Linked DNA regions of Callithrix jacchus. The main gene of each other region encodes a partner of the protein of the gene in region 3 in a complex. Links are inferred from orthologs where the notes say so. Each region holds a gene or a part of one and is shown on either strand. Other genes may lie near its edges.

The links.
Region 1: the proteins of JARID2 (region 3) and AEBP2 are in contact, whole or in part, in a cryo-EM structure (PDB 8VNZ), measured with the Homo sapiens proteins. The link is inferred for Callithrix jacchus from reciprocal best matches to the Homo sapiens genes JARID2 and AEBP2. Residues at the interface, in NP_004964.2 of Homo sapiens: Ser148, Lys151, Pro152, Lys153, Thr154, Glu155, Asp156, Leu158, Thr159; in NP_001107648.1 of Homo sapiens: Arg407, Ala410, Ile411, Asn414, Leu415, Glu420, Ser421.
Region 2: the proteins of JARID2 (region 3) and EZH2 are in contact, whole or in part, in a cryo-EM structure (PDB 8VNZ), measured with the Homo sapiens proteins. The link is inferred for Callithrix jacchus from reciprocal best matches to the Homo sapiens genes JARID2 and EZH2. Residues at the interface, in NP_004964.2 of Homo sapiens: Arg108, Pro109, Arg110, Leu111, Ala113, Gln114, Arg115, Lys116, Thr154; in NP_001190176.1 of Homo sapiens: Arg78, Ile131, Pro132, Tyr133, Asp136, Ile146, Lys156, Val157, Asp160, Arg161.

The regions. Positions count from the first base shown.
Region 1 is NC_133510.1:3,955,626-3,966,874, forward strand, and holds part of AEBP2 (zinc finger protein AEBP2), read right to left. Parts: intron 6,100-11,249; coding exon 6,032-6,099; intron 4,225-6,031; coding exon 4,111-4,224; intron 1,045-4,110; coding exon 1,018-1,044; intron 446-1,017; coding exon of another isoform or gene 400-445; exon of another isoform or gene 1-399. UniProt on the Homo sapiens protein: Acts as an accessory subunit for the core Polycomb repressive complex 2 (PRC2), which mediates histone H3K27 (H3K27me3) trimethylation on chromatin leading to transcriptional repression of the affected target gene.
Region 2 is NC_133512.1:98,903,044-98,914,292, forward strand, and holds the end of EZH2 (histone-lysine N-methyltransferase EZH2), read left to right. Parts: intron 1-43; coding exon 44-284; intron 285-776; coding exon 777-946; intron 947-1,376; coding exon 1,377-1,471; intron 1,472-2,541; coding exon 2,542-2,582; intron 2,583-3,048; coding exon 3,049-3,174; intron 3,175-3,976; coding exon 3,977-4,155; intron 4,156-6,353; coding exon 6,354-6,449; intron 6,450-7,720; coding exon 7,721-7,802; intron 7,803-8,717; coding exon 8,718-8,798; intron 8,799-8,945; coding exon 8,946-9,030; intron 9,031-10,408; coding exon 10,409-10,469; 3' UTR 10,470-10,733; downstream 10,734-11,249. UniProt on the Homo sapiens protein: Polycomb group (PcG) protein. Catalytic subunit of the PRC2/EED-EZH2 complex, which methylates 'Lys-9' (H3K9me) and 'Lys-27' (H3K27me) of histone H3, leading to transcriptional repression of the affected target gene.
Region 3 is NC_133505.1:15,485,862-15,489,461, forward strand, and holds the start of JARID2 (protein Jumonji), read right to left. Parts: upstream 2,606-3,600; 5' UTR 2,103-2,605; coding exon of another isoform or gene 2,058-2,102; intron 385-2,057; exon of another isoform or gene 267-384; intron 1-266.

The DNA.
Region 1 (11,249 bases), on a different chromosome or scaffold from region 3:
AAAAAATCGATATGGCTTCTTGCTTACCAAGCAAGAAAGTGATTTTATTTTCCTTTTCAAAACCAACTTTGGTGCATAAAAGATTCAGTTTGAAGATACTTGTAAAAAAAATACAATTTTTCTTACATTAAGAAAAAACAACTCAAAAACCAAATGATTTCCTCAGAAAAAAATTAGAGTCATATAGGTTAAATGAAAATATGAAGATTGTTCAAATAATTTGAAAGGTTTTTCAAAAACCGTTAACAGATTAGTTATATAGGTAAATATGAAGGTACTGTACCCCATGAGGAAGCCCTAGTCCTGCAAAGGGAGCCACCAGACATACTGCAACACTCTTTAACAGTAATTCTCAGCCCTAATTCGATAGACGAATTTTTAGTTGATTGCAAACGTCGTTCACTGTTTGCTTAAATACAAATTGAACACTTTTCTTATCAGAGTTCTGCAAAAGAACACAAATGGCAACCAATCACATCTATTTATCATAATTGAAAAGTAAATTATCTCTTGATAATTTTCATTGTCTAAATACTTCCTAATATGACTTCAAATCAATAAACACTGTCAAGACAAATATCGTTACAGTGCTTTTGGTGTTTGTAAGGGCACATGTTGTAATTGTTTTTCTTTCCAATATAAACTACTGAAATCACTAAAGGGGGGGGAAAAAAAGAAAAGCAGCTTAAAGCAGCAAGCATGCAAAGCCTTTAAGAAGCTGTTCTACTAAGTTGCCAAAAGAGTGTTTGCTCAGTCTCCCACAGTACCATTCCATGAAAATGTGGATATACAGTAATATATTAATATATTCCACTGAAGAGTCTACTTCATTCACAGAATGTTTACACTAAGCATAAATATTATCCTAAATACTGGATTTTTTTTTTTTAAAAAAAAAAAAAAAAAAAAAAGGAAGGGGTTGACTCTAATGTGCAACTTTTCCTAAACCCATTGTCAGTGACTAAGACTGCAGGTGTCCCCGCTTGTTTGCTTTTTATGTATTTATTTATTTTTTACCTCTTCAACCTCTTCTGCGGCATTGTTCTAGAAAAAGAGAAAAAGAAATTCTTTTATTCAACTAAATCAAACACACTGCTTCAAGAGACATTAAAAATATTTCTAAGATACAGGCAATGTGACGATCATAGAGTATAATGAAAATTTATTTCCAAAACATTTATACATATGGATCCATACTTAGTTACATAATAATCGTTGCTTAATAGAAGTTTTAAATTTCGCCTGCTTGTGCGTTTCTAAGATAGAATTCCATGTGTAACACATACATTTTAGGCAACTAGTACTTTAAAACCGACGCTTGGCTGGGTCTGAGTGGCTCATGCCTGTAATCCTCCCAACAGTTTGGGAAGCGAAAGCAGAAAGACTGCTTGAGCCCAGGAGTTCAAGATAAGCCTGGGAAGACAGACAGATGTGGTCTCAGAAACAACTAACCCTGAAGCTTAAATCCCAAATAAATTCAGTTGTCCCTCGGCATGCACAGTGGGAGTGTGGGGGTCCCCAGAACAGAATTTCCTGCAGATTCCAAAATCCAAGGAAATAGCAGGATTTCCAAATAACCTGCATCCATCCTTCTGCATACTTATAATACTTAACATAATATAAATGCTATGTAAACCAGCGTTATCCTACACTGGTCTTTTATTTGTATTTTTTTTGTTGTTGTATTGTTATCTTTTACCCCCAAATAGCTTTCATACACAGTTGGTTGAATCCATGGATGTGGAAGCTGTGGATACAGAGGGCCAACTGTGTATTTTGTCTCATTTTGAAGAAATATATTTTTCAGAAGGTTTGCCATGCTTTCATTTTGATATGTGCACAAGAAGGAAATTATTTCTCCTAAAAACAAGAAAGAATAATTTTCTTATTTTAATTAATTTCACAAGTTTTCCAAATCAAAATCCAGAAATTTAAGAAAAGACTGCTACACCAGGGCAAATCTGTACCACTTTACAGCACACTCAATTCTGATTTTCAGAACAGTGAAAGCATGAAGAGTCAAAGGTAAGTTTTATGGTGGCTTTTTTTTTGGACACAGTCTCGCTCTGTAGCCCCAGTTGGAATGCAGGATGCGTTCTTGGCTCCCCGCAATCTCCGCCTCCTGGGTTCAAGTGATTCTCATGCCTCGGCCACCCAAGTAGCTGAGATTACAGGCGTGCACCACTATATTCGACTGATTTTTGCATTTTTAATAGAAACAGGATTTCATTATGTTGGCTAGGCTGGTCTCGAACTCCCAGCCAAAAGTGATCCATCCATCTCGGCCTCCAAAAGTGCTGAAATTACAGCCGTGAGCCACCTCGCCTAGCCAAGATGGTTTTTTGGATACGGGTAAGGAAAATTAAATCCACAGAAGCACCTAATATATCCTAATAACATTCTCATTTCCAACAATAAAATCGGTAAGAATTGTGGAATCACACACATATTTGAGAATATGCAACCCTGTTCCTATGAACTTCAGAATATCTGTTCTAAGCTTAATTTTTTTCAAGTCACTTTCACTAAAATATCTCAATTGCTTCCTACATAGCACAAGAGCAGAAAAAAATAAGCTGGTTTGGTGAGAAGGCAAGACTCTTTGAAAGAAGGAAGTAGGATGCCGGGCAGAAACACAGACTAATCTTACTTTAAGATCCATGCTCCTTCGACAACTCTCTGAGTGGTAACTTGTAACCTTCCCAAATTTTTAGTAGTAGACTACTCTCAATCTTCTTCTCCTTGATGATCTAGTTCATTCCACAAAGAAGAAGTTTTACTGTATTAATTAGCACTTTCATCAAAAGAAGTTCGAGAAGAAACTTCTTTTTTTCAGACAGGGTCTCACTCTATCAGCCAGGCTGGAGTGCAGTGGCACGATCTTTGCCTCACTGCAACCTCGAACTCCCAGGCTCAAGCAATCCTCCCACCTCAGCCTCCTGAGTAGCTGGGACCACAGCCATGTGCCACGATGCCTGGCTAATTTTTGTATTTTTTTGTAAAGATAGGGTCTTGCTATGTTGCCCAGGCTGGTCTTGAACTCTTAGACTTCAGCAATCTGCCTGCCTCAGCGTCCCAAATGCTGTGATTACAGGCATGAGCCACTGGGCCCACCCAAAAACACCTTTTTTGTGGTAGGGAAAACTGTTTCCACATGGAAATGTCTATAGTTAGACTTTCACTCATAGAATAATGTCTCAAATTACAGGAGTCTATGTGAGTAACACTCAGAAAGTACATCATGGAATGAATACGTCCTCCAAAGTGTCACTATAAAATTAGCTATCTTTACAACAGCTAAAATACACAAAGTTTCATTCAAAAAGACATAAAGCCCTTTCGGTAAGACTGCCTTTTAAAAGCTGGTTTTAAGCATTGCCACCACTTTTTAAATCACTCTAATGTACCTCATTTGGATAGAGGCACCATGGAGTTCAATCACATTCTGTAGACCTTAGGTAGACTATTTAACCTCTTGCCTCAGTTTTCCAATCTGTAAAGCAGAGACAGTAAAACCTACCTCACAGAGCAGCCGTGAGGATAAAGTATACAAAGCACCTAGCAAAGTGACTTAGCACACAGACAGAAATTCTGGTCTCTTCTCCTTCCCCCCATACCTTTATAAGCATAGTACACTAAAAAAACTCAAATCATAAAAGTACTAGAAATGTGAACACTCTAAGCTACATATAAAAAAACAAACAAATAATATTTGAATTGCTCTTTCAGAAAGTTTGGAGAAAGTGTAAGTTCAAAAAAAAAATCAAAACAGTTTTGGTATTTCAGACTCATGCAACGTATTAGGTCCACAAAAGTCTGTTACTATGTAAGAAATTACCTTGTTAAAAGGGCATTTATCTTCAAATTACTACTTAAGATAAATCTGGGATTAAACAAGCATATAAACTTTAGCAAAATACTATTTTCCTGGATTGTACAATTTTTAAACTTTTTGTGAGTCCACACACCAAAGGAAAAAAATGCCAGGAAGTAGTAAGATATGCTTGATATTAAAATTCGGTTCTGAAAACTAAGTCCTAATTTATCCAAATTTGGGGGAGAGAAAATTACAATTCAAAAAGTAAAACATAAAGGCAAGAATTAAATTACCTGTATATGTTTGGGTCCAAAAGCAAGGCAGTATCTTTGGGTAGCTTTGATAAATGAACTACTTTAGTTTTTAACTGATGTCGTTCACTTTCATTCACCCACACATCAGGCAGACTATGAATTAAAAAACAAGTCAACGGTAAGATAACATTCATTTTAGATTGACACTTCCTGTGCCTGCACATTCTGGCATTTTCTGTCCATATTAAGTGAACAAGTTTCCCGGAAGCCAAGTTTCCCGGAAGCTAGCAAATTTCTTTACTGAGAGAGAAATAAAAGGGTCTGGCATGTTGGCTCATGCCTATAATTCCAGCACTTTGGGAGGCCAAGGTGGGAAAGATCACTTGAGCCCAAGAATTCAAGCCTAGAATGGCCAACATGGTAAAAACCCATCTCTACTAAAAATACAAAAATTAGCTGGGCATGGTGGCACACAGCTGTAATCCCAGCTACCCCCGAGGCCAAGGCATCACTTGAACCCAGGAGGCAGAGGTTACAGTGAGCCAAGAGTGCACCACTGCACTCCAACATGGGCGGCAGAGCAAGACTGTCTCAAAAATAAATAAATAAATAGATAAAAACCCTGGAAGATTAAACTCCATTTAAAAAAAAAAAAGCATGTGGCTACAATACTAAATTCAAAAAAATTCAACTCTGTAAGAAAATTAAAATAAATGTATTTTGATATTTGGATTAATCAACTTTCAAAACATTAGAATACACACATCTAAATTTGATTTTTTTGGAACAGGGTCTCGCCCCGTCACCCAGTCTTGAGGGCAGCGATTCAATCACAACTCAATGCAGCTTCAACCTCCTGGGCTCAATCCATCTTCCCACCTCAGCCACCTGAGTATCTGGGACTACAGGCGACAACATCACAACCAGCTAATTTTTTTGTTTTTTGTTTTTTTTCCTGTAGAGACGAGGTCTCACTATGTTGCCCAGGCTGATCTCAAACTCCTGGCCTAAAAGCGATCCTCCTGCCTCAGCCACACAAAGCACTGGGATTGCCAGCATAAACCACTGTGCCCAGCTATTGGCCGCATATGTGAATTTGGTATGCATAATAAAATCTCTTTCAATTACATTTATTCAATTCTTGATACTTAAAAATTTTGTCCAAAATTTCTGTAAGATACCCTGATTTCCTTTTTATAAAATGAAAATTTTAATTAAAAAGATAAAAAGAAAATTAAACATGAAATATCTGAACTGAGAAACATCTAGGTCAAAAGTGCTATGAATAGGCACTAAAACTCAAAAAAATGTAATCACTGCTAGAAAACTAGTCAATTGCCTTTTTTTTTTTTGATGTACAGCAAAACCACAATCAGAAGAATTTTTTTTCTTTTGGTCAACTGCTTTTTCTATAAAATATCATTCATTGTATGCTAGAGAACATTTACAAATTTTTAAAATAAATGATTCAAACAAAGGCACAGTTATGGCTGCTTGTATACTGCTTGGAGGTCCCTAAAAATCCTAAAAATGATTAAAAATTTCTACGACTACTTCTTCCTGTGCCTCAGTCTCCCGAGTAGCTGGGATTACAGGTGCATGCCACCACACCCAGCTAATTTTTGCATTTTTAGTAGAGATGGGGTTACACCATGTTGGCCAGGCTGGTCTCAAACTGCTGACCTCAGTGATCCACCCGCCTTGGCCTCCCAAAGTGCTGGGATTACAGGTGGCAGCCACAGCTCCCAGCTTAAACAAAAAAACCTTAAGTTTCAAAGCCTGTAAGGTAAACCAGATAGTCTAAGACTTTTCAGATTATCTCTTTAATCCTGACAACCTCAAAATGTTTTACAATGTAATTTTTGTTTGAATTTAATAACAAATAATTTTTGTGCTTAGGATTTTAAAAAAATAAAACATAAACTTATTAAATGTTACACAGGGTATTTCAAATACTTACATATCTTCAGGCATCCAATGAAGCAAAAGTTTTATCTTCCCAGAATCTTCTTTTCTCTTAGCTATTACCTAATAATGAAATGAAAAAAAAAATCATAAAACAATTTGCAAAACATCATTTTCATGCATTGTTAAAAAAACACTTTTGGGGCTGGGCACAGTGGCTCACGCCTGTAATCCCCACACTTTGGGAGGCCAAGGTGAGTGAATCACAAGGTCAGGAGCTCGAGACCAGCCTGGCCAATGTGGTAAAACCCCATCTCTACTAAAAATACAAAAATTAGCCAGGCATAGTTGCAGGCTCGTGTAATCCCAGCTACTCTGAAGACTGAGGCAGGAGAATCACTTGAACTCAGAAGATGGAGGTTGCAGTGAGCCGAGACAGAGCCACTGCACTCCAGTCTGGGAGACAGGGTAAGACTTCATCTTATTAAAAAATAAAAAAGTGGCTCACACCTGTAATCCCAGCACTTTAGGAGGCCGAGGCGGGCAGATCACGAGGTCAAGAGATTGAAACCATTCTGGCCATGGTGAAACCCCGTCTCTACTAAAAATACAAAAATTAGCCGGGCATGGTGGCACGCGCCTGTGGTCCCAGCTACTCGGGAGGCTGAGGCAGAAGAATCGCTTGAACCCAGGCAGGGGTTGCAGTAAGCCGAGATTGTGCCACTGCACTCCAGCCTGGCGACAGAGTAAGACTCCATCTCAAAAATAAATAAATAAATAGATAGATATAAACGTAAATAAATAAATAAAGGGGGGCCAGGCACAGTGGCTCATGCCTGTAATCCCAGCAGCACTCTGGGAGGCTGAGGCAGGCGGATCACCTGAGGTCACCAGCCTGGCCAACATGGTGAAAACCCATCTCTTATGTTTAAAAAAAAAAAAAAATTATAAAATAAAAAAAACACTTGTAATCAAGAACTTAAGTGTTCATACCCTGGAAAAGATAGTACCGCCACTACATCGTGCTTTGTAGTTCTTCCCTGCTTTGTAGCACTCAAACCTCTCTGTCTTTCCCACAAGGCTGAAAAGCCCATGACATAGGTCTTTTCTTACTCTATGAACCCTTTGGGTCATACCACCTATAGCAGTGTTTAGTATAAAATCAATTAATTAACCGTTTGGAACTCCATTCTAAAAAAATAAACCTAGATTCAGTAAAAGCTCTGTGCTCAAGGATGTTTGTATTACAGGGAACACCGTTATCACTTCAGGCCTAAAAAGGGGAGAGCAAATATCCCAACACTGAGATCTAAGAACTGTACTTGTTAATACCTATTATCTCCAGCCACTGCCGTAACTTATCCGAGTTCAGGTCTCCTTTCTTCTGGACCTCCTCAAGTCATCAAAGCTATTTTCAATACCCAGAAGGCTTTTCCCAAAGTACAAATTCCGTAGTATCACTTTCCTGATAAACTCTTCAACAGTTCCCCTGAGGACTTCTGAAAGGGTCACTCTAAGTGTGGTACAGAACACTCTTCAGGATCTGGCCTCTCTAGGCCTCCGCTGTTCGGGCTTTTCTGCCTTGAACTCCCTTAGCCTCATATTGAGAACAGTTTCCCAAACTATGTGGAACATATAAAAGAAGTATTGGACTGATCTGTAACTGAACGGAACATAACTCTCCAGGCTTTCTGCGCACCAGCAGCATCAATATTTTACAGAAGAACAATTATCATATTCAGATACTATTAGAGTACTGTGCACACAAAAGTAAAATAAAACAAATCCCACTCTACTAAAACTAAAGACTTATTTGTATGAAAACTCTTGTTCACAGCTTTTGGAAGGCTTCCTGAAGGTCCACGTCCTCTGTGGCTCACGCCTGCAATCTCAAAGCATGGGAGGCCAAGGTGGGAGGATCGTGTAAGTGCAGGGGTTCTACACCAGCCTGGGCAACATAGGAAACCCTGTTCCAATACAAAACATTAGCCAGCTGTGGTAGTGTGTGCCTGTTAACACCAGCTACTTGGGAGGCTGAGGTTGACAGGATTACCCGCGCCCAGGAGCTGAGACAGTGTCACTGCACTCCAGGCTGGGAGAAGGTGAGGCCCCACACCATCAAAAAAAAAAAAAAAGAGAGAGAGAGAAAGAAAGGAAATGAAAAAGGTCACTTATTTAAAAAGCGATATACTGCAGAATTACAGTAAAAATCAAGAACAAAAACTGTAACAAGTCTCATTAGGGTATCTCTAATAGCTTTTCAATTGTCTACAAGTTCTGGCTCCGCTTTAAATAAATAACGACTGCAGGGCCGGGCGCGGTGGCTCAAGCCTGTAATCCCAGCACTTTGGGAGGCTGAGGAGGTGGATCACGAGGTCAAGAGATCGAGACCATCCTGGTCAACATGGTGAAACCCCATCTCTACTAAAAATACAAAAAATTAGCTGGGCATGGTGGCGCGTGCCTGTAATCCCAGCTACTCAGGAGGCTGAGGCAGGAGAATTGCTTGAACCCAGGAGGCGGAGGTTGCGGTGAGCCGAGATCGCGCCATTGCACTCCAGCCTGGGTAACAAGAGCGAAACTCCATCTCAAAAAAATAAATAAATAAATAAATAAATAACTACTGCAAATCATTAGATTATATCTACATTTAAGTTTGGTTTATTCAAGAATTGTGACTAGAAACCCCAGTTAATTTATCTATACTCCAAAGTGTGACTTTGGCTCTCTATAACAAATTACTGAACATTCTTTTACATATTCAGAATAAATGTTTAAGTTACATACACTCCCATTTTTTGATTACTCATTTTAACTCAGGCAATTAACCTAAGCAACTACAGGTCTCAGTTAAGTCAAATAAAATTCACATCAAATTTGTACTCCCACCACCTCAGCACTTTCCTGCCTGGCATATGCAGTGTCTGCCATGCGCACACACAACGATACATCTCCTTTTTAGGACACGTGCATTATCACCTTTTCCGCACGGATCCTCCCCCACAGCTCTAATAATGAGTGAAGGGTCTCTTACTCTATGCCTCCAGAATGCTAAGTGCTTACTCTGCATTAGCATAGTACACCATTATTGCCAATCCTTTGTGTGCCTACCTGCTCTCACAGAGTGTGGTAGACAATTCAGTCTCTACCCCAGGTATTTCTAATAAATGCAGAATGCAAGCAGATGATTATAATGGAATACTATGCAGTCATTTCAAACTGGGTTCACACAAACACTAAAAAAACAAGTAACAGGCCTGGCATGGTGGCTCACGCTTGGACTTTGGGAGGCTGAGGTGAGTAGAACGCCTGAGGTCAGAAGTTTGTGACCAGCCTGGCCAACATAGGGAAACCTCATTTCTACTAAAAATACAAAAATTAGCCGGGCGTGGTTGGCGCATGCCAGTAATCCCAGCTACTCGGGAGGATGAGACAGGAGAATTGCTTGAACCTGGGAGGCGGAGGTCCCAACAAGCCACGATCTTGACACTGCATTCAAGCCCGGGCAACAAAGTGAGTGAGACTACATGAGACTATGCATCAAAAAAAAAAAACACACACAAAACAAAACAAGGAGCAATGGTACTAATATCAAAGTAAAAGGCACAAAGTCACACCACATGACTGTGACTGTCCAAAACAAAAGAAAAATGTATACGTTTAAGTAAAACATCCACTAATCTAAACAATTAAAATATGTACTACTCTAAGCAAACCTCAAAACAATAAAAGGAAAAACAAAAACCAGGTTTGCTTTGGCACTGAGATCGTGGCACACAACTTCTTCTACTTTTCTTTATTCTTTTAGTCTTTAATCACCTCAATTTTTCAACAAACTTTTCTCAACTTCATTTGTTTCTTCAAGCCAAGGTGTCACTCTGTCACCCAGGGAGTGCAGTGACATCATCTCGGCTCACTGCAACCTCTGCCTCCTAGGCTCAAGTGTTCTTCCCGCCTCGGCCTCCTGAGTAGCTAGAACCACAAGCGCAGCCACTACGCCTGACTCTGTTCGTTTTTTGTACCGGGGGGTTTCATCATGCTGCCCAGGCTGCTATCAAACTCCTAAGCTCAAGTGATCTGCCCCACCTTGGTCTCCCAAAGTGCTCAAATTACAGGTGTGAGCCCCAACACCCAGCCTCAGCTTCACTTTTAATCATGTATTTTCACAAAAGGAAAAAAACAAAAAGGAATTAAAGAAGCTTTAAATAATCAAACTAAAGCCATGTTATCATTATTAATTAAGGGAAAAAAATGCCATTTGTTTTGCTATCTAAGTATGTAGCTTACCTTAGCCAATCAAAAGCATTCATAGCAGATGAAATTTTTTTTTAAGTCTTTACATTCTTATTACTCACAGAAGTTTCATGTTTTAATCTAGCTTTCTGACTCTGTACTTGTGTCTTCAAAATTCACAACCATTCTCTGCTCCTCAATACGGAGAGCATGCTTGATCCTGTCACGAACACATTTACAACACGTGAAACCACCAAAGGCCATGTTTCTGTTTCGGACACTCTCATAAGAACTTTCGGTCTTACACCGTGAACACCTCAAGGTCTGCATGGGCACACGACACATGCAGATTTTGGTGCTTTCCCAACCTTCCTGGTGTAAAGGTGAACAACCCTAGTTTTGTTAGAGGCTGTATCGTAGGAAAGCCTACAACAGCATGAGTGCCTGCAGACAATGTCCCCGGAAGAGGAAGAAGAAAGTCTCTGAAATATCTTTAAATGAATAAACAGTAAAGAAAAAATACTACTGAGAAGGAAAAGTCTCTAATTTACAACCTAAGCCTCTTATTATGTCCTAGAGTTTTTTACTGTTTTTAGTTGGTTTTATTTTAAATGAAAGGTAGCCCAATAAGTTTTTAGGTTTAAGCTTAAGGAATCTATGCAAGTTAAATGGTACATCAATCTGAACAGCAAGACCTAAAGAAGTGTAAGAAAAGCAGGCCGGGCGCCATGGCTCAGGCCTGTAATCCCAGCACTTTGGGAGGCCGAGGCGGGTGGATCACAAGGTCAACAGATCGAGACCATCTGGCTAACATGGTGAAACCCCACCTCTACTAAATATACAAAAACTTAGCTGGGCGTGGTGGCATGCACCTTTAGTCCCAGCTACCCAAGAGGCTGAGGCAGGAGAATCACTTGAACCCAGGAGGTGGAGATTGCAGTAAGCCAAGATTACGCCACTGCACTCCAGCCTGGCAATAAAGTAAGACTATGTCAAAAAAAAAAAAGCAATATACTTTCCATTTCATTACCAAATTAAGG
Region 2 (11,249 bases), on a different chromosome or scaffold from region 3:
GTTTTAGAACTTTGCCCTGATGTCGACATTTTTCATTTCGTAGGAGGGAGCAAAAGAGTTTGCTGCTGCTCTCACTGCTGAGCGGATAAAGACCCCACCAAAACGCCCAGGAGGCCGCAGAAGAGGACGGCTTCCCAATAACAGTAGCAGGCCCAGCACCCCCACCATTAATGTGCTGGAATCAAAGGATACGGACAGTGATAGGGAAGCAGGGACTGAAACAGGGGGTGAGAACAATGATAAAGAAGAAGAAGAGAAGAAAGATGAAACTTCGAGCTCCTCTGGTAAGACACGTCTAATAATTGGGTTTTACTGTTCTGTGAAGTCTCATAATGTGAGGATTAAGGATATATAATGCACTGAATAATTTTCTTAGTTTTCAGTATAATGAGAAATCTAAGACCAGTGCTATCTCAAGAATGTGTAGCTGCATTGCTTCTGTTTCCTGCCTCCATGTGGCCCTACCGTAGCTTGTGATGTTTGCCCTGCTTGGTTGTTGGAAAGTTGATGCAGTTTATTCTCATTCTTTGTGCCATTTTTCTTTTTCGATCTTTCTTAGATAGGGAATAATGGAATTTGGATCATTTGGTTTAATATTCTTGATGTTCTATCAGTAGTTTTGGTTAGAGAGAAAATGTGAACTACTGATAAGTTAGTATTTTATGGATTGGATTTTAGTTGTCCTTGTCTTGTTTTTTTCTTTAAGCACATCCTGAATTTTACATCTTAATATTATTTCATCATTTATTAACCAGTGCTTACATTTGGTTTTGTAGAAGCAAATTCTCGGTGTCAAACACCAATAAAGATGAAGCCAAATATTGAGCCTCCTGAGAATGTGGAGTGGAGTGGTGCTGAAGCCTCAATGTTTAGAGTCCTCATTGGCACTTACTATGACAATTTCTGTGCCATTGCTAGGTTAATTGGGACCAAAACATGTAGACAGGTAAGATATCCGATAAAAATGTTCTTAAAAGAGCCTCAAACATAGGGATAAAAATGTACTCATTGTCCAAACAAAGAAAATTCTTGGTTATTACTAAGTTCCTCTTCATCTCCTAAAAATTATTTTTTCTTCTCAAGAGGGAATTGAATGAAAATTATTCTTCATGTACGTTACAGAATTTTCCCACTGTAGACATTTAAGGTTAGATTTTAAAAGCTAATAAGAATTTAAATTTAGCATCACAGTTCTTGACCGGAATATAATTACAGCCACCCCCAATGTGAGGGTAGAGACAGTGATGTCTGTTATATCCTGAGCATCTAGCAGTGTCACAGAAGGGACAAAAACATTTATCTGGTATGCATGAGTATAAGAATGGTTTGCCTTAATAAGACTGTCCTCATGGCTCTGTAACTGTGCCTCTTGTCAGGTGTATGAGTTTAGAGTCAAAGAATCTAGCATCATAGCTCCAGCTCCCGCTGAGGATGTGGACACTCCTCCAAGGAAAAAGAAGAGGAAACACAGGTGAGTCTGCCAGGAACCTCTTAGAGAAGTCAACACAGATAGACACTGCCCGCGAGGCCCTTCCTAAGGGCTGCTGTTGGTTTCTACTTAGTCTGTTTTTAAAAACCTTAAACTGCCATCAAAAACAGAACTGTGGAATCTTATTTCCACTGGGAATTGCTAGTATTTTTCTATAAGAATACAGCAGCCTTCAGTATATTTTGCATGTTAAGAGTCCTTAAAATTATGGTTACCAGACTGCATTTGAGTTAAGAAAAACTTACTTAGTAGTTTTTGCTGTGAAGGCTACATAAATAATTATTTTAACAACATGAAATGTTCTGTCTTTCTGATGTGAGCTCTGGGCCAGTTTTTAGAAGTATCTTTTATTCTAGGAGCTTGAATTTCTACATTGTGTGGCACTGCATTCCGATACTCTCAATAAGGCCTGTGGGAATGTTTTCAGGCTGGTTTGATTTATATCTGCTCTAATCTCCCCATACCTCCACCTCACATTTTTAAAAACAAGAAACAATTGGGTAGGTAAGGGTGCAGTTAGATTATGCTTCACAAATTATGTACAGGCTCGTGTTACATTTTGTTACTTTAAAGAAAATGTAGGGTCAACCCAATTTAGAATTTTTAAAAATCAAATGTTTTTTCTCCCCCATAAGAATTTAGGCTTTAGGAGATGCTTCTGAATTTTTGGTTGAATTATTTCTGACCATGTAGTTTACTTGATTGGTTAATGATGCCTGAAATTAGAGAAAGTGATCAGTACCATCCACATCAGAATAAATCAACAGACAGACACACCTGCTGCTTTGTGCAGCATTGGGAGCTCAGAGGTCTTGACCAGGAGTCATGGATAAACACAAGAAATGACGTCTTGCCACACCTGGGGCAGCCTGAGCTATCAAGCTGTTTGAATTGCTCCAAACTGATGGCAAGAATTAGCTGGGGGAGGGCATGACTCTTGGCTTCAATGCACTATGTGTTCATGGCACAGAGAGATCCAGTCAGGCAGCTCTCTCTTGTATTTGTAGCTTCCCTGCAGAAGTTTATGTTTGATTTTGTTTGTGTTTTTGCAGGTTGTGGGCTGCACACTGCAGAAAAATACAGCTGAAAAAGGGTTAGCATCTTTCCATTCCCCTTGTCATCGGCTTAACAATGTCTGCTTTGTTCTCATTTGTTTTAGAATAGTAACTGGATTAGGGCTTGGGTTATTCTAATATAATTGACTTCTGTACATTAAATCAATTTGAATGGAGGATGTCTGTTGATGAATCCCCAGTCGGTTCTCTTCTGTGAAGTGGAGGCTGACTGGAAGGTGCGAGTCCTAGTCAGTTGAAGGAGAAGTGCTTTGGGATGGGACTGAGATGTAGCCCTGCTCTAGATGGAGCTCACAAGCACTTGGGGGTGGGAGAGTATTTTTTCCATCATTCTGTAAACAGGAATATGTATAACATTATGCATTCAGTAAAGGAAGGCCAGCTGCACTCCACAGGTAGTAGGGAAGAATGTACTCTTGTTAATTGTGTATGATCGTTTCCCATCTCCCTGGATTCATTGGCCTGCATGATGTTATCTTTATTCAGACGGCTCCTCTAACCATGTTTACAACTATCAACCCTGTGATCATCCACGGCAGCCTTGTGACAGTTCGTGCCCTTGTGTGATAGCACAAAATTTTTGTGAAAAGTTTTGTCAATGTAGTTCAGAGTGTAAGTATTTGTTGCTTTGATGCAATTGCATGAGAACTAAATAGGCCTTTGGTCAGCAATTTAAAAAATCAAAAAGTGAGAACACAGGAGCACTCCCTTGTTTACTTTAGGAAATTCATCGATTCTACAGGTATTGATTGAGCCCCATACCTGGCCCCTGCCAGTGACCAGTCAGTTGCCTGGGTGTTGTGTGTCTATGTGTGTGAGGCAGGCAAAGTTGTATTAAAGGAATCCGAATTTTATTTTTTTCTTCTTTGATCATTTAAATTAAGTCATATTAAAGTCGGCACAGATTGTAAGAGAAATCTAGAAGGAGCTACCCACATAATTTTTGGGCACCAGAAGTTGTCAGAGTTTAGGAAGGTTTTAGTCTTCAGAATAAAGGAATGTAGCACAAATGTAGGGGATTATAATAATTGTTTAATGAAACTGCACATTAAGCTTGAATACTAAGGGAGTGTTTAGAACCAGGAGCTATTAGAATGGTCAAGGACCATGGATATTGTTTCATCCAAACCCTTTATTCACACTTACTTTAAATATATACATTATTTAACAAATGAAAAATGGAAGAACAACTCAATGGTGGTCTTTTTCAGTACAAACAGCTTTAACTTCGCTGTTAATACTTCCATTTCCTTGTCTATACAGTAGAGTAATAAGGCGGTTGTGAGGGTTGAGTCAGTCAGATGCTCAGTACAGCCCTTGCCACATATCTTTCTGCAAGTTCTTGCATATGGTGATGATTGTGATAGTCATGGTGTTGATGATGAGTGAAGAACCTCCACACCTCTCTCTGAAGGTCAAAACCGCTTTCCGGGATGCCGCTGCAAAGCACAGTGCAACACCAAGCAGTGCCCATGCTATCTGGCTGTCCGAGAGTGCGACCCTGACCTCTGTCTTACTTGTGGAGCTGCTGACCATTGGGACAGTAAAAATGTGTCTTGTAAGAACTGCAGTATTCAGCGGGGCTCCAAAAAGGTGAGCAACAAGTTGCTTCTGGAAGGTTGTTTTTAGTGATGCTAATCTCAGGATTGTCTTAGATGATTTCACTGGGGCAAAAAGTAAAAGTGATCCTTGAAAGGTACAACTGATAAGAGAGAAAGCGTTGATAATTTTCTCTGGGTAATGCACTCTGGGGCAGTCTCTTCATTCTAGAGAACACCGTACTGTGTTGGTGGGAGAAACCAGCAAATTCTGAGAAGTAGCCATTCATGGTATCAGATTTGAAATAGGAGCTGTTTAATAGAGATTTGAATTTCTCTTTATCTAGTATCCTTAATGCAAATAAATGGTGATTTCTATCAAAACACAGAGTCATTCTCATCAGATAGTATTTATAGGTTCCTTACTATGTAGGGTAAAAGATGAAATTTCCCACGGCAGGTTTTTATTTACTTAGTTCCTGTTTAATAACCTTGGAAAAAACCCAGCCAGGAATTATATATTTGAATTCTGGGAATTGTATGTAGGTAATTTTAACTGTATCAGTCAGGAAGTAATTATTGAGCAAAAGAAACTGCAACAACATGTATTTGGGAAATTTGTCTTTTTTTTTTTTTTTTAGGGTAGATGATAGGTTTTTCTCTTCAGTCAGTTCTTCTTATAATAATAACTGACATTTATTAAGCATGTAAAAATAGCAGGCACTGTTCTAAGTGCTTTAGTGGATTTGTTCATTGATCTTGATAACTCTGTGAGTGAGGAATAAATGTTAACCCCATTTTACCGGTACAGCAAACCCAAAGTCACAAGATTTGTAAAGGAGCAGGAGATCAAATCCCCCAGGCACTCACTCCCATTAACCTGCTCTTATGCTGCGTGTGTGTGTGTGTGTGTGTGTGTGTGTGTGTGTGTGTGTTGGGGGGTGTGGAGTAGACATATCTTTGATTGTTGGACCATTTATTTATGATTGAGATCACACTTTTTACCAACAAGTCCCCTTCAACCAGCAGTTCTGCTCCAGGCAAAACACTGAACTTCTCTTTGTTTTGTTCCCTTGTGTCTTTAAACCAAAGTCTGTGTTTATGGCAGATAGCTGTACAGGGTGGCAGGTTTTTTGTTTTTGTTTTTAGCTGTGATTTTTTTCTCTTAGGCATTTAAATCATTTTACTCTAGGCAGTTATATATCCATTTAGGTCATTGGGTCATGGTGATGCTGGTTCAGTTTCTGATGGCAATACCCATTCAGACCTAAAAATCTCCATTTCTCCCCCAAACAACTTGCCATTGCACTGCTTCCTCAGTTTGTTCAGAAAGAGGGTAATACTATTGATACTGACATGTCCTCTTTGTAAGACATTTTTTAGCTCTTAAAAATGTTAAACTATGTAGATACTTTTTTACCAATTAGGTTTCATTTGCATAGCAATATTTAGCTATAATTTAGTTTCTGCACAGAAGAGTATTTGGGAAGTTCACCTCACAGGTGAGTGGTAGGATGTTCCAGAATAGGAATAGATTGGAAGCTTGAGTGATCAGGAAGCCTTTGTAAAGGTCATAAGAAAATTTTGAATGAAAGCATAATAATGAGCCATGTTGAAAAATTGGCATGTGTTTGGGAACACATCCCTAACTCTATAATTTACTGCAGTGATCATCTTGGCCTTTCTGCTGAAAATAGACTACTGGACTGACAAGATCATGATGCCACCTCTTGGTAGATTTTCCTGAGGAAGTAGGGTGGAAGAACAAATTTAAAAGAAAGCTGCTGTGGGCTTCAGAGGGAACAAATGCCAGTGAAGAATCGGGGTGTCCTTGGGGGCATCTAGAACTGGTAATAGATGTCACTTGACGGAAGTAGAGGGAAAGTTATGAAGAGGAAGGTGATTTGGAGGTGCCCTTATATTAAATTCAGGATGAAAGTAAATTACTTAAGAAAATCAAGGGCTGAGGAGACCAGGCAGCCAAAGTGCAGCAGTAATGCAAACAACCAACAGCACCAAAAGTTTTTTCTGTAAGACAGTGATACTTCTCTGCTCTGTAAGAAAAACATAATTTTCATACTTAGCCAGCCATTCTCAGCAGCTTTCACACTGACTGAAGGTATGTGTCCATTACTGCCTTAGAACAGGTCTGAAGATTGACAGCAATAGCCTTGTTTTTATTCTGTAGTCTAATTTGTCCCTAGTCCATCTTTACCCTCTTCTTTGATTATATGATTGTGTTTTCTTCTCTAGCATTTATTGCTTGCACCATCTGATGTGGCAGGCTGGGGAATTTTTATCAAAGATCCTGTGCAGAAAAATGAATTCATCTCAGAATACTGTGGAGAGGTAAGCACTGATCACCTATATTCAGGTGGCATTGTATATAACAACTTTTCTTTATTTTAGATTGATTTCATTTGGTAGGTCTGTGGGTTTGATTGGAAATGAATTGCCATAAACTGCCTTTTCAGCCTGGACTTCTGCAGGTTGTGGATTTGCATGCTTAGTAACAACTGGATGGTGCTGGGTGCGGTGGCTCACTCCTTCAATCCTAGAACTTTGGGAGGTTGAGGCAGGTGGATTGCTTGAGCTCAGGAGTTGGAGACCAGCATGGGCAACATGGTGAGACCCCATTGCTACAAAAAAATGCAAAAATTAGCTGGGTAGGGTGGTGCATACCTGTAGTCTCAGCCACTTGGAAGCTGAGGCAGGAGGATCACTTGAGCCTGGGAGGTTGAGGCTGCAGTGAGCCATATTTGTGTCATTGCATTCCATCCTGGGTGACAAAGTAAGACCCTGTCTCAAAGGGAAAAAAAATAACTGGATTGCTTTGATTCTAGCCAAATACAGCTTTTCTCATTGAGGGACAACAGGGAGAACAAGAGCTTTATCATAGTGTCCTGCTTAATCCACAACCTAGTTGATAAGGACCTAGAAACAACAGTGTCATTAGTTACTCACCTTTTAAATTGTTGCGTTAAAGAAAAATCATAGGGCTAGCTTCAGTTTGGAACCAACTCACCCAATTTTTGTGTTTCACCCCCTGGCCTTTGTTTTTGAGGTGAAGCTCTTACTGCCCAGGCTAGAGTGCAGTGGCATGATCTCTTCTCACTGCAACCTCTGCCTCCATCTCCACGGTTCAAGCGATTCTGCCTCAGTTTCCCCAAGTAGCTGAGATTATAGGCATGCACACCACATGGCTAATTTCATATTTTTAGTAGAGATGGGGTTTCTCCATGTTGGACAGGCTGGTCTTGAACTCCCGACCTCAAGTGATCCACTTGCCTCTGCCTCCCAAAGTGCTGGAATTACACGCATGAGCCAAACTCTGTGTGTGTGTGTGTGTGTGTGTGTGTGTGTGTGTGTGTGTGTGTGTAACTCAGCAAAAAGACTTTTGTTTCTTACTTTCTCCAAGGATAATTACTTTGGGATGTGGAAATATTTCTGAGTTGAGGGTCCAGTGTGCAGACTGAATGGGAAAGAGAACTTGGCAGTAGTGACCCTTTTTGTTGAATATTCTCCAGAAGGTCCAGTATTCACTCTGTGAACTTTTGTGTGTTCTGTCAGGCTTGATCACCTTTATCCAAAAGAATTTTCTCCTGTGTCTTTCTCTTTAGATTATTTCTCAAGATGAAGCTGACAGAAGAGGGAAAGTGTATGATAAATACATGTGCAGCTTTCTGTTCAACTTGAACAATGGTATGTTTTTGAGCTGGGAGGCAGTGAGTTCCTCTGAATTGCATGTGGCAGCCTTTTGCTGCATGCAATTTCTGCTTCAGAAATGAAGGTAGAGGTCAGTGAGGTGACCGGAAGGAAGATCTCCACAAAGGCATTGGGGCTGCTTGCTGGAAAGGAACTGGAGCAAGGAATTCCTCAGGTAGCAAATACTAGGAAACCGCCTCTAGAGTCCCAGCCATCTGTGGATGGGGCTGCACCAGTCTCTGGCTGTGAAGGGGACATTGTGCTCTGTTGCTGCTCACCTCTTGTGTTCCAGAAGCTCAGCACACCTCCTCCAGTCAGTGCTTCTGACCAGGAGGGAGCACTGCATTTGAAAGCATCTTCCAGACTTCCCTGGATATTCTCAAAGGACTGAGAGGAAAGGCAGCTTCTTGCATAGCTGATATATGTTCTAGGGTAGAATGTAAGGCTATAGGGAGTGTTTTGGTGGGATTATATGAAAATGGAGGTAGGCTTAACATGTAAGATACTCAGAGAAACTGTTAGTTGGAAGTAGTAGGTTTTTTTCTAAGAATGCTTCATAGACATTAAAATTAATTTTAAATGTGAAAATGCCTATTCTTGAAATTTGGAAGAATTTAGATTCTGGTTTTTTGGCCATGTTTTGCTCAGTCAGATATGTTTATAGTTGATAAGTAATAGCTTTTGAATCAGATAACCATCTTGAATTACAGGTGATTAAATTTAACCTGGAACAATAAATAGTATGTTCTTCCAAATGTCATTTCTTACATAATGAAGTTGGTTGAATGGTTTATTTGTTTTTTGCAGGCAAACCCTAAAGAACTATAACCAGTTGCATTTACAGAATCATAATAACTTGATTGACTTAAAACTGAAATTCACTGGGTTGTGCATATTTTTTTTTTTTTTTAGATTTTGTGGTGGATGCAACCCGCAAGGGTAACAAAATTCGTTTTGCAAATCATTCGGTAAATCCAAACTGCTATGCAAAAGGTAGGTACCTTTGAAGTCAGAATTGGAGCTCCCTTTTCCATCCTGTGATGATGGACTTGAGTACTTCCGGGATACTTTGTTATGTGAACAAGTCGGTAACCACTCGTTGCTCTTCATGCTCACTAACACCGGTGTCTCTCTTTCCAGTTATGATGGTTAACGGCGATCACAGGATAGGTATTTTTGCCAAGAGAGCCATCCAGACTGGTGAAGAGCTGTTTTTTGATTACAGGTTGGTAAAGTAAATTTCTAGCATGATCTCTAAGGGCTTTTTCTACTGGATTTTGAACTCTGGACAAAGAATATTTTTTAGATGTGCTGTCTCTGAGGTGTGGGGTGAATTCTTTGACAGGTCAGTATTTGCCATGGCCATTAGTAGGGAATTAGGTTACACTTTCCTCTTAAGTATTCATTATCCATTTATTTGTTATACAAGTCATGCTTATTTTAAAAACAGAATAAAATCCATGCAGAAAGCCCCATTTCTCACCCTGCTATTGACAGGTGGGTGAGTCGTAGACCTTTTCATATCATGCTGCATGCTTGCTTGTGGAACATTTTCCAGAGTAAATGTGATCACACTGTCCTGTAGATTTTTCTGCAACATGGTTTTACTTGACAGTATACTATGTATATCTTTACTGATTAGATCTACTTACTTTATTGCTTGCTACGATACTTACTACACAGGTTATTATTTTAAAAGGTGCTGGTGGCAAACTGCTGCTTGGTCACCGTGGGTTGTTTCTGGGGGGGAGGTGCTGGCACTTGTGAGCCACCGATGGTTTCTAACTGTATGGTTAGGCATTAGGTTGCCAGTTGATGCTGTCAAGCTCTGTGGGATAAACTTAATACAGATTTAAGTGCAATCAGGTGACTGTCTAGTTCATGAACTCCTTTGGCCCCGTATACATCCCATCCAGAAGCTCTTTGTCAGTACTGAGTTCTTGCGTATTCGGATTGGCGTTTAATGTCTGCTGCACGGCCGAGAGCTCTCAGTGAGGCAGATGAGGTCTGAGTGAAAGGCCCCCTTTACCAAAAGGCCACTTCATTCCAGGCCTGCTGTGAATGAAGAGTGGGGGGTGGAGCTGGGGTTGGAGGTAAAGCTATCCAGCTTCCTTGGGTTGGCCCGGTGGTCCCACCCCGCAGATGGGCTTCTTGTGCTTCTTCCTGGGTGTCTGCTGCACTCTAGTTCTTTTTTCACTGGGGGAGTGACTGACAGCTGTTCTTGGGCCCTCTTTGCTGTGGTCATCGTGCTTTCCAGACCATGGTTCTGTTTTGCCGTTCAGCGTCAGGCCCATCATTGCGTGCACCCGCTTTCCTGGGGCCACTTGCTTCAGAGGCTTAGGGGAAGGCTGGGCAGAGCTCTGGCCAGGTTTGTTCACTTCGGAACTTGGCGGAGTCTCAAGTAGATGGCCAGCAACATAGACCAATGCATTGCTTCTATGAATGCCCTTATGCAGGCAGCCATGTAATTGTTGGATGTATGTGTATATGTTTTTTTTTTAAAGACATTTGAATGCACTCACTGTATTGAGCAGGCTTTGTTAAGTCTCAGCACATGTTGGATGGGGGTCATCCACCAGACGTGCTTTTTCCTGTTGTTTCAGATACAGTCAGGCTGATGCCCTGAAGTATGTTGGCATCGAAAGAGAAATGGAAATCCCTTGACATCTGCTACCTCCTCCCCCTCCTCTCTGAAACAGCTGCCTTAGCTTCAGGAACCTCGAGTACTGTGGGCAATTTAGAAAACAAAAATGCAGTTTGAAATTCTGAATTTGCAAAGTACTGTAAGAATAATTTATAGTAATGAGTTTAAAAATCAACTTTTTATTGCCTTCTCACCAGCTGCAAAGTGTTTTGTACCAGTGAATTTTTGCAATAATGCAGTATGGTACATTTTTCAACTTTGAATAAAGAAATACTTGAACTTGTCTTTGTTGAGTCATCTCTCACTGCTTTCAGGACTGTAACAAACAAAACACTTTTAAATTTAACTCGGGTTTTTTGTCTTCATATGAATCTTGATTTAACAGATACTGCTTGTGGATACGTGGAGGATGGCCATATATGAAGAGCACTACCGTGCACCCTAAGGGCTTACCCGGTAAAGGGCTGGATCTTACAGGCAAGACCAGGGTGGGTACGTTCCAGTCAGCTGTGCAACCTGAAGAAAGTGATGTAACCTCCAAGTCTGTTCCCCATGTATAAACTGACTGACCGAGTAGACTTCAGGGATTTTTAAGAACCTTCCTAGTTCTAAACTCCATTACACTAGAGTTTTTCAGAAATACAAGATAAGTTGGGATTCCTTACCTACCTACAAAAGGTGACAGGTATAAAACCAAACTGTAGTTTTATATCTTCTCAAAGAGGAGGTAAAAAACACAAAACTCTAAAAGTGTCAAGGAAACGACATTTACCTTGCATGCCTTGTGATAGTGTGGTTGG
Region 3 (3,600 bases):
GCGGCGGGGGAAGAACCCGGGGGCGGGGAGGGGGTGCGCTGACGTCTCGCCGGCTTAACCTGTTGCTCCTGAGACTGCGTCGGAGCCCGCAGGCAGGGCCGAGGGAAGCCGGCCGGGCCGCCGCCATGCTCGGCCGTGCGCACGGTGGGGGGCGCCGGCTGCAGCTGTGCGCCGCGCGCCCCCTCCCCGGCACGCCCACGCCCCCGCCCCGCGCGCTCTCCCCTCCCCGCGCCCCGCAGGCCGCACCGCCCCCGCGCCCCACCCACCAGCCTGCCTGCCTGCCTACTAGCCGGCCCGAGTAGGCCGGTGCCCGCCTGCCTGCGAGCCGGCCCGGGTAGGGTAGCCCGGTGCCCGCCTCGCGCGCCAGCCTGGAACCCGGAGTCTGCCCCCTACAGGCCGCGCGCGCGCCCGCCGGCCCAGCCCGGGCCCAGCCGGCCGCGACCCCGGCGCGCCGTCCCCTCCGCAGCCAGCTCGAGCACGTCGCTAACACCTCTGTTCCCGGAGCATTAACTCGTGCCGTGCCTCCCGCGGCTGCCGCCAGCCACGGTGTTGCAGCCGGACGCCCGGACTCGACACGATCCGCGGACCGCCCGCAATTAAAAAAACCCACCCAACGCTGCTCTCCACCTCAAGAAGGTCCGGAATGGGAGGCGGGGTGGGGTTCTCGTCCAAGTTCTACCCCATTTGCTTTGTGGCTGCATCCGAAACGGACGTGCCCAGGGAAGGCGTCCAGCTCGAGGCAAGGTTGCCTCCGTGCAGTTTCTACAGCCGGAGTTTAAACTAGTCCTTTGCATTCTACCCAGCCCTCTGCAATGCGGATGTATTTTAATTCTTAAATTCTTTATGAACAGCTTTCTAAGTTGGACTTGATTATCTAACCTTGAATTTCTTTCACACTTGAAGTTGACGTGTCTAGATAAGAATCAGCTCTCTTGAAGAAGCATTCAGCTTTTCCATTAAATTTTTTACAAAACCAGTGCACCGAAGGTCATCTCTCATTACACACACCACAATGATCAAAAAGGGAAAATATTAACACCAATCTGTCTACTCAACTTAAATAAAACTTTCCTCTTACGCTAAGGTATGTTCATTTGGCCTTTTCTGAAAAAATGAGTTCTTTAAAGCACGCAGCTAATCACAGATCACTGGAGTGCATATTTGGTTAATCCCTTGGTCCCCTTCTTTCCTCCCTCCCCTCAAACTTAAAAAAAAAAAAAAAAAAGGCACCACACACAAAACAAAAACACTCCTCATGCCAATCAAAACGTAGCTGTACTATGCACAATTTAACTATTCCAAACCATTTAAATCTCTGAATAATCACCGAATTTCAGAAGCCCAGTTAAGAAAAAATGACTTGTAGTTACTTACATATGCATTCATACACACTTAAAAACATTAGCCATAGTGTGTGCCCTTTTCCCCTAGAACTGGAAATCATGAATTTTTCAAACAAAACCAGCCTCATTATTAAATTAAAGTCAAACCCAACAAATGCTTTCGCTGTAACATGATTCCCAACTGGTTTATGTTGCAAACCAGATAAGCCAAAATGACCACAGACATTAAATTTAATGTGCCAGTGCAAAGAGAAGATCGCCATAATCGGACCCTCGATTGCAACTTAAAGGGCTTCCAACAAACACGCGTTACACGATTTTTCCAAATAACATTAATAATAATAACACAGGCTCATTTGCATGCAAAGTGCAATATGGGGCCAAATCCGCTGGAGAATGCAGTTTAGTTACATTACCGAAGCCCCCGCCACCTCAAGCTCCACCAAAATCCCTTGCCTTTCATCTAAAACTAGATTATGGTTGTGTCATTCGAGGTCAATTTATTTACTTGAGGTATCTCTACACCAATCTGTTTTTTCAGCCAAACTAGGCAGACACCACTTTGCTTGAAAAGCCCTCTTTCAGAAAAGAAAGAAACAGCCTTATCGGACGCTGTGTTTAAAACCCTTCAGCTGCAGAATTATCTATAAACTTGACATTCACAGCCATTGCTTAAAACTGCAAGTCAAAGGATGTGTTGTTAGGAGCACTTACATATTTCTTCTGAATGATATTCCTCTTGGGTCTTTCCTTGCTCATTCTGAGATCCAAATGCTGATTGCAAAAGGGGACAATTGCTTCATGAATTTAAAGCCGTCAGAAATTTGCAAAAAAATATCCTGGTGGTTTTTATTGTTGTTGGTGGTGGTTGATCTTGTAATCCGACTTTTCTTCCTCTTCCCCCAAAGCCAGATTCGCCTTGAAATAAATCCGAAATTGGGAAGGAAAAAAAAAAGAGCCAAAGACGAACGAAGCAAACAAAAAAAAATTCACTTTAGTAAAACACTCATAATGGAAAATTTCCCCCGAAACACATACACACACACACAAAAAAAAAACCGACGCCCTTCACTCCCCCCCCTTTTTCCTCCAAAAACTACATCAGCGAAACGTGAAGGTCCTTAGTGTCTGATCCGTAGTTACATCTTGGAAAAGAAAAGGGAAAGATAAATAAAAAATGTTGGAAGTCACGTTTGTGCTGCAGCAGCAGTGCGAGCAGAAGAGTCAACTCCAGCGGCGGCGGCGGCGGCGGCGGCAGCACCACAGCGAGGGCTCGCCGAGTCTTTTTTCCAAGCCCCCTAACCAATGAGAGAGAGGCTATCCAGCCCAACTTTAAATGGACTCTGCTTTTATACAAGTTAGGGCTCCTCGGGTAATTCCCCGCCGGGCGCCAGCCGAAAACTCCCACCGCTCGGCCGCCAGGCGCCCGCTTAGCCCGGTGCCGACCGCCCCTGGCCCAGGCCAGGGCACCCCCGCAGCCTGGCCAACCAGACACCCGAGCGGCCTCGACGAACCCCTCCCAGGCAAGCCCTGGGCGTCGCTCCCACGCCGAGCACAGGCGTGAAATTGAGAGAGGCTCCCTAGCTCAATGCATGGCACGCTCCGTCGCTCCACCTCACCCCCTTTCCCCTGCCTGCCGCTCACCCCACGGCCGCCCCACGCCAGCACTCGCCACTGCCCTCGCGTCTACCTGCAGCCGGGCTGCTGGGTACGAGTGCCCCAAGGCGCCCGGCCCCGGGGAGAGCCGCCTATTCCCGGGGCACCTTAGAATGGTCCCCTTGATCTTCTGGAAGTTGTAGTCCCCCGACTACAAAATGGCTATGGCCACGGAAGCTGGGAACTACAATTCCCAGCCTGCCCCGCAAAGACTGTCACTCAACTCCCCTCCCTCCCTCGGCCCCCTCCCCCTCACCGACCGTGCCAACAAACGCTTGGACGTGTCCCGCGTGCGACACTGCTAGAGGCTGGCTCGGGATTGGCCCGCGGAGCGTGTGGTCCGCGAGCGAGGAACTCCCCACGCCGGCCCCCCTCCGGCCCCCCTCCCATGGCGGCCCCCTCCCCGCGCGCCCTACCCCCACCCGCGGCGCTAACCGCCTGTGGAATCGAGGAATCGCGCGCGCGCCCCCCAGAGCCGCGGGGGAGGGACGCGAGGCTTCCCCGGGGAAGGCCTCGGAGCGTGGCGGCGAGGGGGGCGGTGTCAGGGAGGGGTTGGAGCCCGTCCTAAGGAAAACTGGGCCACGCACCAAGAGGAATCCTC